Linked DNA regions of Oryzias latipes. The protein of the gene in region 1 purifies or fractionates together with the protein of each later gene. This does not show direct contact. Links are inferred from orthologs where the notes say so. Each region holds a gene or a part of one and is shown in the gene's direction. Other genes may lie near its edges. The genes, in order: usp13, smc3 and bag6.

The links.
Region 2: the proteins of usp13 (region 1) and smc3 purify together in Homo sapiens (affinity purification with mass spectrometry; 4 studies listed by BioGRID and IntAct, with this or other methods). This does not show direct contact. The link is inferred for Oryzias latipes from reciprocal best matches to the Homo sapiens genes USP13 and SMC3.
Region 3: the proteins of usp13 (region 1) and bag6 purify together in Homo sapiens (affinity purification with western blotting; 3 studies listed by BioGRID and IntAct, with this or other methods). This does not show direct contact. The link is inferred for Oryzias latipes from reciprocal best matches to the Homo sapiens genes USP13 and BAG6.

The regions. Positions count from the first base shown.
Region 1 is NC_019862.2:9,004,963-9,008,612, reverse strand, and holds part of usp13 (ubiquitin carboxyl-terminal hydrolase 13), read left to right. Parts: intron 1-955; coding exon 956-1,078; intron 1,079-3,650. UniProt on the Homo sapiens protein: Deubiquitinase that mediates deubiquitination of target proteins such as BECN1, MITF, SKP2 and USP10 and is involved in various processes such as autophagy, endoplasmic reticulum-associated degradation (ERAD), cell cycle progression or DNA damage response.
Region 2 is NC_019859.2:36,679,485-36,683,733, forward strand, and holds the start of smc3 (structural maintenance of chromosomes protein 3), read left to right. Parts: upstream 1-1,431; 5' UTR 1,432-1,611; coding exon 1,612-1,626; intron 1,627-2,117; coding exon 2,118-2,193; intron 2,194-2,303; coding exon 2,304-2,342; intron 2,343-2,426; coding exon 2,427-2,494; intron 2,495-2,614; coding exon 2,615-2,686; intron 2,687-3,984; coding exon 3,985-4,064; intron 4,065-4,158; coding exon 4,159-4,237; intron 4,238-4,249. UniProt on the Homo sapiens protein: Central component of cohesin, a complex required for chromosome cohesion during the cell cycle. The cohesin complex may form a large proteinaceous ring within which sister chromatids can be trapped.
Region 3 is NC_019874.2:28,127,813-28,131,462, forward strand, and holds part of bag6 (large proline-rich protein BAG6), read left to right. Parts: intron 1-894; coding exon 895-1,003; intron 1,004-1,093; coding exon 1,094-1,218; intron 1,219-2,179; coding exon 2,180-2,314; intron 2,315-2,396; coding exon 2,397-2,444; intron 2,445-2,510; coding exon 2,511-2,723; intron 2,724-3,105; coding exon 3,106-3,213; intron 3,214-3,474; coding exon 3,475-3,621; intron 3,622-3,650. UniProt on the Homo sapiens protein: ATP-independent molecular chaperone preventing the aggregation of misfolded and hydrophobic patches-containing proteins.

The DNA.
Region 1 (3,650 bases):
GGTAGGACTTCTTGATATCAGCCACTTCAGTTATGGTCCGGTGGTACATCCCATGCAGGGGTTTGTCCTCCCATGAGGATCTGTCCTCCAGCACTGTATCCTCTGCTCTCCATTGCCTGAGACATTCACTGAGCACACTGTCAGTTGGGGCCTTGAGCTTGATGTACTCATGCATCTTGGATGTTTCATCCTGGATAGTGGCTTCTACGCTCACTAGTCCTTGGCCTCCTTCCTTGCGGCTAGCATACAGTCTCAGGGTGCTGGATTTGGGATGGAACCCTCCATGCATGGTGAGGAGCTTTCGTGTCTTAACATCCGTGGTCTGTACCTCTTCCTTTGGCCATCTTATTATTCCTGCAGGGTATCTGATAACTGGCAGTGCGTAGCTGTTTATTGCCCGGGTCTTATTTTTGCCATTGAGCTGGCTTCTCAGGACTTGCCTTACCCGTTGGAGGTATTTAGCTGTTGCAGCTTTCCTTGTTGCCTGCTCCAGGTTGCCATTTGCCTGTGGAATTCCTGTGGGATATATATATATATACATACATTTTGTGTGGTTCTTTGAAGGCTCTTTGAAGTGTGTGTAGTACTGAAAACACCCAGCAGAGGTCACTACTAGACTGTAGTAATAAAATCAAATGCCGGAAAATTACTGTCAATGGTAACGGTCACGCCATACATAGTAGGACGATTTGTTCAAAAGCGCACAAATGATTAAGAAAGTTTGGCCTCAATTACAAAAGGGGTTTATTCAGTCACACCTTTGGTTTGTCTGAAGATTAATAACCCCTCTTGTTAAAGTAAAATATGTCCAACACAAGAGGCCCTCAGCTCTCATCTGCCTGCCTAGCTGTTGGACAGAACAAGTTAAAAAAAAAAAATGAAAAAAAAAGAATAACTTATTAAGTATTTCTTGAGGGGTTTTTGTTTCACACAATATTTATTTACCTCTGTGCAGATTTAACCATCGATGTTCCAGATTTCTTGGATCTGAGCCGGCTCCGAGCCACGGGGCTGCAGGCAGACGAGGAGGAGCTGCCGGACCTCATGCCTCCCATAGTTCTGCCTGAAGACACCAGAGGTGCCTGCTACACATTAAATGCCCTCATTTACCATGTTTTCCTAATCTTTTATGACACTTTTAATACACCAGAGGCTAATTTTTTAAACTTTTTCTCCTTTCTTTTGCTTAATGCTCCACATGGGCTATTTTTTTAAATCTCCTATTCTCCCATGAATGACTGGCAGTGGCCCTTCAGTGCTGTTAGTGACAATGTTTGAACATGAACTAATGTAAAGCTGGGCTCCTATTTACTTATTTAATCTCTCCATTATTCATTGTTCCGTTTTGTTGTCATGGTAAAAGGGCAACATTTCCCCTGAGCGCCAGTGCTTTGGTTTTCTAGAATACGTCCCTCCAAAGATCTTTTTGAAAAAAGGAAATGCACATGTTTAGTTGAAATTGCTGCAGATTTTTCTCATCAGGTGTGAAATATTTCTGAGAGTCAATTCATCAGTGAAAGTGTCTTTAATACGAATGTCTCGTTTTGGAGAATAGAGAAACACTAACACAGTTCTTAAAACTTTGTCATGGGGTGCATTTGTTTTGTAATCTTTTTGAGATTAAATGCCCTTTATTTTTTAGTCCCTTATTGTAAAAACCTTCAGTTTCCTTTGTTGCTACATTTAGTCATCCAAATATTTCATATTGATGACAACATCTCAGAAGAGCCTTTACTTCTGCCCCACAGGGCGGCAATCTCTGCTTTTAAATAGTTAAGGCAACAACAAAGAACTAGTGAAAGTGTGTGTCTGATTCAGGACTGAACAGCATGCGTCATGTGTGCTATCTTAGAAATGCAAACCCATAGAATGCCATTTTAAGTGGAGCAGCCACTTAAAGTTATTGGGTTGCACACATTGACTGTTTAGGACAACTGGCCTGAGTGACTTCCAAACAGGAAGTACTCCCTGACTCCAAGAAGCCAAAATAGACTTCTGTTGAGAAAAAACAGCATTATATTTGTCAAAATAACCATTTTTATCTGCCACCTTTTTTAAACATGTTTTTGCTAATCCTAATGTGTTTTTCTTGAACGACTGTTTTTAGGCTCTGTGTACCAAACGCGGTGCCATCAAGCACGTGTTGCAAGTAAAACCAAGTTGAACTCTAAACAATCAAAGACACTGATTTGATTGTGGCTCGTGGATGGCGTCTCTTTTAATACATGGAAGTGCTAACCGTTTTTAAAAATTGATCATAGAAGACAAATTGATAATTGCGGTTTTTGCCTGGAATTATACATCTTTCGGATATCAGAATAGAGCTGTAACAGAAAAAGACAGAAGTAAAATTCCGGAGATTTTGCACAGCTTCAACTTTTCTCACCGAGCCTTTTCCAACTGTAGGTGGCAGACATGCGCTGTAGCAAATGAAGATGCCCCTACCTGCTTGTCCAGTGTGAACACCATAAGCTAAACATGTGTTCGAGAACCCCAATTTAATACGTTCTTTAACATGCGTTGCATGCCCGGTGTGTAGCTTAATACATTCAATGGTTACACATTACTGTGGGGCCAAAGCTGTTCTGCATATCGATACATAAACATAAATAATTATTGCAGTGAAATTCAATTCAATAACACTTGTCAAAATGTTTTTTTAAATTTTATATTCAGTCACACTGTAGGTGAATTTCAATTGCAAATCCGCTGCTTCTGTTTCAATTAATATGAGGTTAAAGTCTCTCTATTTGTTCAAATAAAACTGTGTAATGAAAGCGCTTGGAGGTAAATGATTTGTAGTTTTTCTATCTCATTCTCAGGTTTAATTGTTTTGCATCTTTTTTCCCGTGGTTGCAAATCACCCATTGGTCCGTTCTCCCCCATCTGGCATCAACCCAAAGGCATCAGACCCTTAAATGTGTTCACTTGTATCACCTCATTGGTTTTGTTTTTAATGCTATACTATTGTCTTATTCCACACTTTAAATAAGTAACACATTTTTTCCAGGCTTTGACTTCCTCTCATCCTTTCAGATTAAAGTACTAAGTCACGTTTAACAAGACATGTAATGTGATTTGTCTTTTTCAACTTCTTTTCCCTTTCTTTGAAATGAATTACCTAAAATTACATAATGTGGAGCTGACTTAATCAGTTCCTTAAACTGGGTGCAGATAAAAGGATCTGTGAGACATTACTCACACAAAGAATAGGAGCCACCACTTAGCCATTTGCAGAACATGTTGTTCTCTGGGTGAGAGCAGAAAATAAATCATCTTCATCGAGTCTTTGCAGTCATAGTGTTTTCCATGTAGAGTGAGAGTTTTTGTGCCAATAGGATTATCTGAAGTTGAGTTTTTTTTATTTATTTTTTTGGCAATTGACTTGTGCCCATTTTTTGTTTCAGCCTTGAAGAAACTTTTGCCAATTTAAAAAATTAGTACATGGCAAGAGTTTGGGATATTTTCATAAAGCCGGCGTGCTGCTCCTCCGCTTCATGCTGAGTTTGTTAGCAGACTCTCATCCTCGCTGTAGAGACCTAAACAGCTTTAAAAGTCGGCATGGCGCACATGTGTCCAGCATGGCTGCATAACAACCTGCAGCTCTGGTAACTGTTTTGTACACCTGAGGAATTGACCTGGGTTATGTT
Region 2 (4,249 bases), on another chromosome or scaffold:
CCCTCTGAGAAACCAGGGTTCGTTTCCCAAGTGTTGCCATGAGCTTCATCCAGTGTGGGTCCTAAGACCCTTCGCCCTACTGCCTAACTACAAGAGGGGCCAGGTCTCCCTGTGCCTGTCCCCAGCCCGGACAAAGTACAGGGTTGTGTCAGGAAGGGCATCCGGTGTAACAATCTCTGCCAAACCACCTGTGAGACTCCCTGAAAGCTGATTGGCTGTGGCGACCCCTGAAGGGACATGCAGAAGAGTGAACAACAACAACACATACTGAACCGCATCCTGAATCATGGGGAGAGATTTTAGTTTATGTATTTCAAACATGTTATAAAAACAACAATAGATACATTCATACACTCGCTGATAACTGTAGTCAGTCACTCAAGAGGTTTTTTCTAACAGAACTCAAGCAAAATAAAATGTTGGAAAAGCAGAAAGCTTATTAAAGCCTACTCCTTTATACCCACTGAACTTTGACAACAAGAAAACATGGAGTCAGTGCATCACATGTTCTGTTAATTGTAGATTACATGTAAATGTACATTTACAGTACTGCTTAGTAATGGCCAACTGGACTTTTTTATTGTTACTTTCTTATTAGAAATTTTTAAAACAGTTTTTCTTCCAGAATCTTTCGTTGTTGTTTTTTAATATACAACTATTGAACCGAAACAAAACCATGACCAAAAAATTAACGTTTGAACCAAATTGTGAATCTTTGTATCCCTAATATAGAGGAGAGATTTTTCTCCCTCTCAATAATAGGCCTGTGTGTGTGTGTGTGTTTGTGTAGGCCTTCATGTTTTTTGTGTGTTTATGTTACAGAAACCATGTAAACCAAGAGTTTTGTAACTTTGTTTGCCACGTTGTACAAAACCAAACAGCCCAAGCTAAGGATAGTAATGAGATAGCAAAATATTTTCCTTTGCTCTACAGTATTGTGCATAAATTCTCATGAATGTTGATAGTATTTAGTTACTGTGACTGTACGTTTGTGACATGGCTCTTCTATATCTTCATCCAAAGACCAAGATAAACTTTTAGGCCAATTTGTTCAAACGGGTCATTTTAAAAATAAAAGTATTTTACTCTTGTAATCACATGTTTTCTTAATGTGAGGAACTGGCTTCAATAGTTGACAGTTACCGGCTGAACGGACATCGTCTACGGTAGTTATGCTTGAATCAGGAGGAAGCGTCAGCGCGAAGCTGCGCTTTGGCGCCCAGAACGTCAGAGGCAGAATGTACCAACTGTGACGGGAAAAAGATTTACACGTTTCACACGTTTAACAGTTCACACAGAAAAAAAAATGTACATATTTCAAAGAAAAAAATTATATAGACATTCATGCTACTGCTCGGGTTTGTCCAGGTCCTCGAATTCAGCCTAACATCTTTACCACAACCCTATTTTGACATAATGGAACAGGCCTTTCCATCCCGCCCCCGCCGCCATTTTCCATGTTGTTCTGTTTTGGTGAATTCGTTTCATTTTAGTTGAATACAAACGTTTATCTTGTAACATTTGATTAGTAAGATTACCGGAATCTTGGGTTTGGTGGAGAGGAGTTTAATCTCCAGCGTTTTTCCAAGGAGACGCCGTGTTTAGGCAGCCATGTATATCAAACAGGTAAGTCATCCACTGGGTTTTTGTCTCTGCAGTGCTGCTGCTTACTTTCCCTGGTCTGGCAACAAGGCGCAGGGAACACAAAACATCTTTATACTCCCGGTCTGTAGTCTTTAATAATGTAGATATTTATTTTCTTAATCAAGCAAGCCCATTAAATGCACTCAGACGGAACTTTTAGTATTTAAATAGGACTGGACGCCCCCCTTGCCGAAGCTAAGCTAATGCTAATTTTTGTTAGCGCGGAATTGAATCCATGCGTGAATTAAGCCGAACAAAATAACATTGCGCCCACGTTTTTAATGCATATTGTTCCCCTCATACCGTACATAAACTCGCCCTCTGTCTGGAATAGCTCACAAGTTTTAAATGATAGATTTAGCATTAGCCGATGAATCCATCGCTAGCCGATCCCGGCTAGCCGAGGCCTTTTGACGGCATGTATCATACATACTACGGCATATGTGGGTGGTAACTGCTGTGGTCTGGTGCAGGTCATCATTCAGGGGTTCCGAAGTTACCGGGACCAAACTGTTGTTGATCCATTCAGCCCAAAGCACAACGTCATCGGTGAGTCTGTGCTTCATCATGATGAGTTTTGGAACACATGATTTTCCCATGTGAGTATATTTGTCTTTCTCTAAAACATGGTTCTCTCTCTCTCTCTGTTTGATTTTCAGTTGGAAGAAATGGGTCTGGAAAAAGTAACTTTTTCTATGGTATGTGGGCTTCATTTACAAAGTTTAGTTAGTTTAAATCTTTCCATTGTAGCTAAATCCAAACCTTTTTGCCCCCCGCCCTAGCCATCCAGTTCGTCCTCAGTGATGAATTCAGTCATCTGCGGCCTGAACAGCGTCTGGCCCTTCTGCATGTAAGTATGATGTCGAATTTTACCACCAGATGATTTCTGACCAACCTTTTTTTTTGCATGTTAATGGAGTCATTCTTGCTTTGTTTGTTTTCTCTCTCATGGCCGTTCTCCCCGTTGCAGGAAGGAACTGGTCCACGCGTCATATCAGCTTTTGTGGAAATTATTTTTGACAACTCTGATAACCGGCTGCCGGTAGGAAAGCCTTTTCATCCGTTCTATTTCGTTTACATTTTGTATTTTTAAACTTTGGAACTTTTAACATTCCAGTCGATCAGTTTTTGCTTTAAAAGCTGGTTTTCAAAGAAAAAAAAGATTTGTTTTTATGGGCTGTTCAGAGTTTGGTGCAGGTCTGCCTTCAGTCACCAACATTTTTTCTAAATGTAGACATACAGACCTAAAGAAAGTAGAATGTTACCTGTTGATCCAAATATATGATTGATGTATTTTAGTGTTTGTGACACCTGCAGTGAGTAACCATAGAAATATTTAAAAGCAGCACCAAAGTATTTGTCAGTCACAGATTCTGCAAGCTGTCCCACATAAAAATAGACTTTGGATCTGTATCATTCGTCATAGACGCAGTTTAACTGTGTGAGACAGAATAAATAATCCAGGAAACCACATTGTTTAATTTTTACAGATTTTATTTGTACAATGGAGCAGAAAATAAGTATTTGATCAATAACTAAAGTTAACCTCAGTACTTTGGGAAGTAACTTTGCTTTTCCAGGTTTGCATTATTTAACAGCTCACAGGCCTGTTACGTCTGTAAAGTCCCACTCTGATCATCATCTGATCTGTTTTCAAAGCGTTCTCGTGGTCTTTTTATTATGATGATGCATTCTTTAGGCAAAAAACCTCTGTTGTTTTGTACGTCATAGTTTCTGCAGAGCGGCAGGAGTTCATTAGAAATTCACCTCTAAATTGTGGGTGGGACTGTTTGGGTGGAGCACCCCCCCTTCCCTACCTTCCCCATTGCTCAGAGCAGGGAGTTTGTGGCCCCGCCCAGCGTATTTTCTACGTCACAAATACAATCCTTTTACAACTGCATTTCTTCGTCTGCTCCCCGGATTCACAACGATGAGAATAAAAGACTCAGAAATGCAGTTTTAGTCCTAATTTTCTTTATGAATGTCCCCGTCATCAGAAATATACCACAAGAACATTCTAAAAACACCATTTTCATCGCAGTGGGTCTTTAAGAAGCTCTCGTTATTACTCAGATTACTTATTAGAACAATATATAGAAACTTTAAAATACTGGCAACCTGCCTCCACCTGTGGCCCCTTAATGGTCTTATTTATTTGTCTTTATATCTTGTTAATGATGATCATCGCTGATCTTTCATTTTTTAGTGGAACAACTTTCAGAATCGGTTCTGCCACTTACATATTGTTGTACTGCTCCTAACATGAAAGGGATTCACAAACATTAAAGCTGAATTATAGCTTTGTTGATCACAGACCAAGTGAGAATTTTGTCCTTTCAGATTGACAAAGAGGAAGTCTCTCTTCGTCGTGTCATTGGTGCAAAGAAGGACCAATATTTCTTGGACAAGAAGATGGTGACGTGAGTTCTTGCTGAGCTGTGACTGCTTCTGTCCCTGTTATCACAGAGAATGACAAATGTAGGATTAAACGTCTTCCACATGCTGTTGTTGCAGTAAGAACGACGTCATGAACCTTCTGGAAAGCGCCGGTTTCTCTCGCAGTAACCCATACTACATCGTCAAACAGGGAAAGGTGAGAAAGATG
Region 3 (3,650 bases), on another chromosome or scaffold:
TGGAGGCTGAACTTTAAGCTTTTTCTGCAAATTTGTGTTCATGGCAAACGTCTGAATCTACAGGTTACGACTTTGTTTAAACCCACATACGACAAAAATTCACCTTTGATGAATCCTGACTGTCACCATAAACCATTATTAGTGCCAAACTCCACCTTATTGAAATATCTAAAGCCTCAGATGAAATAATTCTATTTACAAACGTATAGAGACGAGAATCCAGAGTCAAAAAACACATTTGATCATATTTGTCATCCTCCTGACTTGGAGGTCGTTCCTGAAATTCACTGACTGTGACACAAGGGGGCGACATTCTAACAGCAGGAGGAGCCAGAGAGGATTTTTTTTTAAACTATTTCAGATAAAAGCTTAAAAAATGTTTTTGTCAAAATTCTGACTACTGAAAAACAATTTAAAGCTAAAAATAATAAATTTCGGCAGGTCAAGTTAAAGATGGAAGATTTTTTTCTCCCATAAACTGGATTTTACCTGCCAGGGAAAGAATTGGCACATAAAAAAACATGAAGTTTTCTACAGTAACTATTTATAAATCGTTTAATCTAAAGAGAGAAAAACACAAATCTTTAAAAAATAATGGAACATTTGCTGTAATTATTTTGAACAGAGTAAAATTTTTGGCAGATTTTAGACCCAAACCAACCTTCACCATGTCTGAAGGATTTGTAGCCTTTTCATTTTAACTAACAGAAATATTGAATATGTTTAAAGAAAACATCCAAATTTGCCAAAATATAAGCTAGAACTTTTAAGAGCTCAACATTTTTGTACCAGAATGGTTAAAACTGACTGAAAACACGGTGAGAACTGGAGCTTTTTCTTCAGGTGAACAAACAGTTTTCCTGGTTGTTCAGAACAGCAGCTTTCTTTGAACAGAGAGAGTCTTCAGTTGCTGTGCTGGACGAAGTGGACGTCACCCAGACCAACATGGCCTTCTTCAGACATCACCTGACCACCATCGCCACACACATCCTTCACTGCACAGGTGAGCAGCGTCACAGATTAGAAACAAAACGTTGGCGTGAATGTGAGGAAACGGCTGATGGTGGATCTAATGCCACCTCTCTGTTTTTAGATGAGACTTTTGGACCCACGCTGCTGAGGATGTGCAACCGCGCGCTCTTCGAGTGTCTCGCTCTGAACCTGCACTGCCTGAGAGGAGACCAGAGGGCTCTGACCGCCGTCATCAACCACCGGATTGTGAGTTTCCTTCTGCTGGTGTGAGAGTTCAACGCACAAGTCTGATGTTTTAAAGTGGCATCAGGTAGTTTAACCTGCAAGAACGCCGACCCATTTTTTATTATTGGACTTTGTCACAGTCCAAGTGGATCATGTGACACATTTCTGATGCATTTCTGTTACACTGATGTCACCATCTGTGTAACCTTATGGTTTAAGGTTTAGGAAATGAATAAATATGTGTCAACACAGATATCACCAGCCCAGTGATCATCAGGTTAAACGCCACTGTTTTTAGCCATAATCAAAAAACAGCATTGTCTTCAAAGGCTGAGTTTCTGCAGAGCAGCACGACTTCTGAGTTTGGGGACTGTTGGTCAGAGCTTTTAGCCCAGCCTCAGTATTTTCTATGTAGCAAATGAGCTCTTCTTCAAAGTGCTTTTTTTTTGGTCTGCTCCTGATTCACAGCGAATCATATAAAAAGATGCTCAGAAATGCAATTTGGAGCTTTTTTGTTCTTAATGTACCTCATCCATCATCAGGAAAAAAACACGATTAGAAACACTTTTCTTTAGAGTGGGTCTTTAAAGCTCTGGTTCAGATATAAATTGAATAAAAAACTAGAATGTTAATTGAAAAAAAAAATTAAAACTAGTTTGAAACTTAAAAGTAAATACTGTAAACCTTACAGAAATATTGTATGTTTGTGGAAAAAGAGATAAAAAACAAAAATTGAAAATAAAAAAACACATTTGTTACAAATAAATAAGACAAATTTTTGGTTTATTTCAATCCAAGTTTTCAGCATTTCTTCAAAAAAAAAGTATATATATATTTTTTTAATTCCAAATGGTCTTTTATTTCTTTCAAGTTTATAATGTGCACTTTTGAGTTTGTGTTTTTTAAAAACTGTTTCATTCCCGTTAAGCTGATCCTGCTGTGACCTCGTCTGTTTGCTGACGGCTCTTCTGCTTTGTTCCAGCGGCGCATGTCCACCGACATCAGTCCCAGCCTGGTGAACTGGATGACCAGCATGATGTCCATGAGGCTGCAGGTCATTCTGGAGCACAACCCCATCTCACAGGAGCAGATCCAGAGCTTCATCGTCCCCCTGCAGGTCGCTGCCACCGCCACGGCGCCACTCTCACGGCGGCCGGGTGTCGTGTTTCTGCGTAAATAATGCATTTCTTCTTCCCCAGAGAGATCAGTCGGCTGCGAGCGACACGCAGGAGCCTGAAGGAGCAGCGGTGAGTCTCGCCACAGTGTGTTCAGATGGACCGGGACCCCCCCCCCTTACCTTTCTGCCTCCTCAGATCGGGGACACTCATTCACCGGCCGCCGCCACCACAGCAGAGGAGGCCATGTCCGGGTCCCACGACATGGCAGCGCGGGAGACGAGGCCGTTGCCTGGAGACCTGGGAACGCTGGGCGGAGCTGCGCCGTTAGGCGGGGACATGGCGGGGGCGGAGGGAGGCAGCGAGGAGGCGTCAGGAGAGTCGGAGACGTGGGCTGCTTCTGTTCCCCCTGTAAGAGCGTCCCTCTGAACTCTTTGACTTTTCTGAAGTTAGTTCTCCTCTGGTCTTTGAAAGCACCAGAGAGGGAGGGGGTGTTGTTGCTGCTGTCACCCGGGTAACCCTCAGTAACAACCTGTTTGGCATCAAGTGGGCAGTAGGGGGCAGTGTTGCTCCACAGTTTCCACACGAGGAGCCTGGGACCAGAATCTGGAGAAGATGATCGGAAGTTGGTGAAGCAAACGCCAAAAAAAAAAAACTCGCTGAGGTTGATGAGCTCCAACGTGCGTTGGGAGTGGGGTCATCTGGACCCCACAAGACAGTACAAGGGCTATAGAAGCTGCAATTAGAAAAGAGATGCTGGATTCAACCTGAACTCTGTTGGGCTGCGTTGCAGGAGTGGGTGCCCATCATCAGGTGTGACATGATGACGCAGAGGAAGATGAAGGCTCAGCCTCCGCTGTCCGACGCCTACCTGAACGGCATGCCAGCCAAGCGCCGAAAGGTAGACCTCACTTTGTTTCTGTATTTTCGTTTTCATCAAAAGCACAAGTCCTAAAAGTTTGGTTTTTTTATACAAAAATAAGGCTTATAAAATAAAAAGTAAAATATGATTAGTGATGAAGCAAACTGCATAATTTGCAGAAAGACGGCTAAACACGGCACAGTGGGAATCATGGCGATCAAACCCAGAAACGGCAAACTCTTTCATTTTCTTTGTACGGTCTTCAGTGTTTTTAATAAAAATTTGTTTGTGTGTTTGCAGACGGGGCAGGGCAGCGGCAGCCTCCTCTCCCTCTCAGACGCGGTGAACCAAGCCGCCAGGACCGCCGGCGTGCGACCCATCACCTCCGCCGAGCAGCTGCAGGGAGATCTGGACTCCCAGGAGGTGAAGGAGGCGTATTCAGAGCAGGTAACCATGGAGACCCCCTCAGCTTTTTA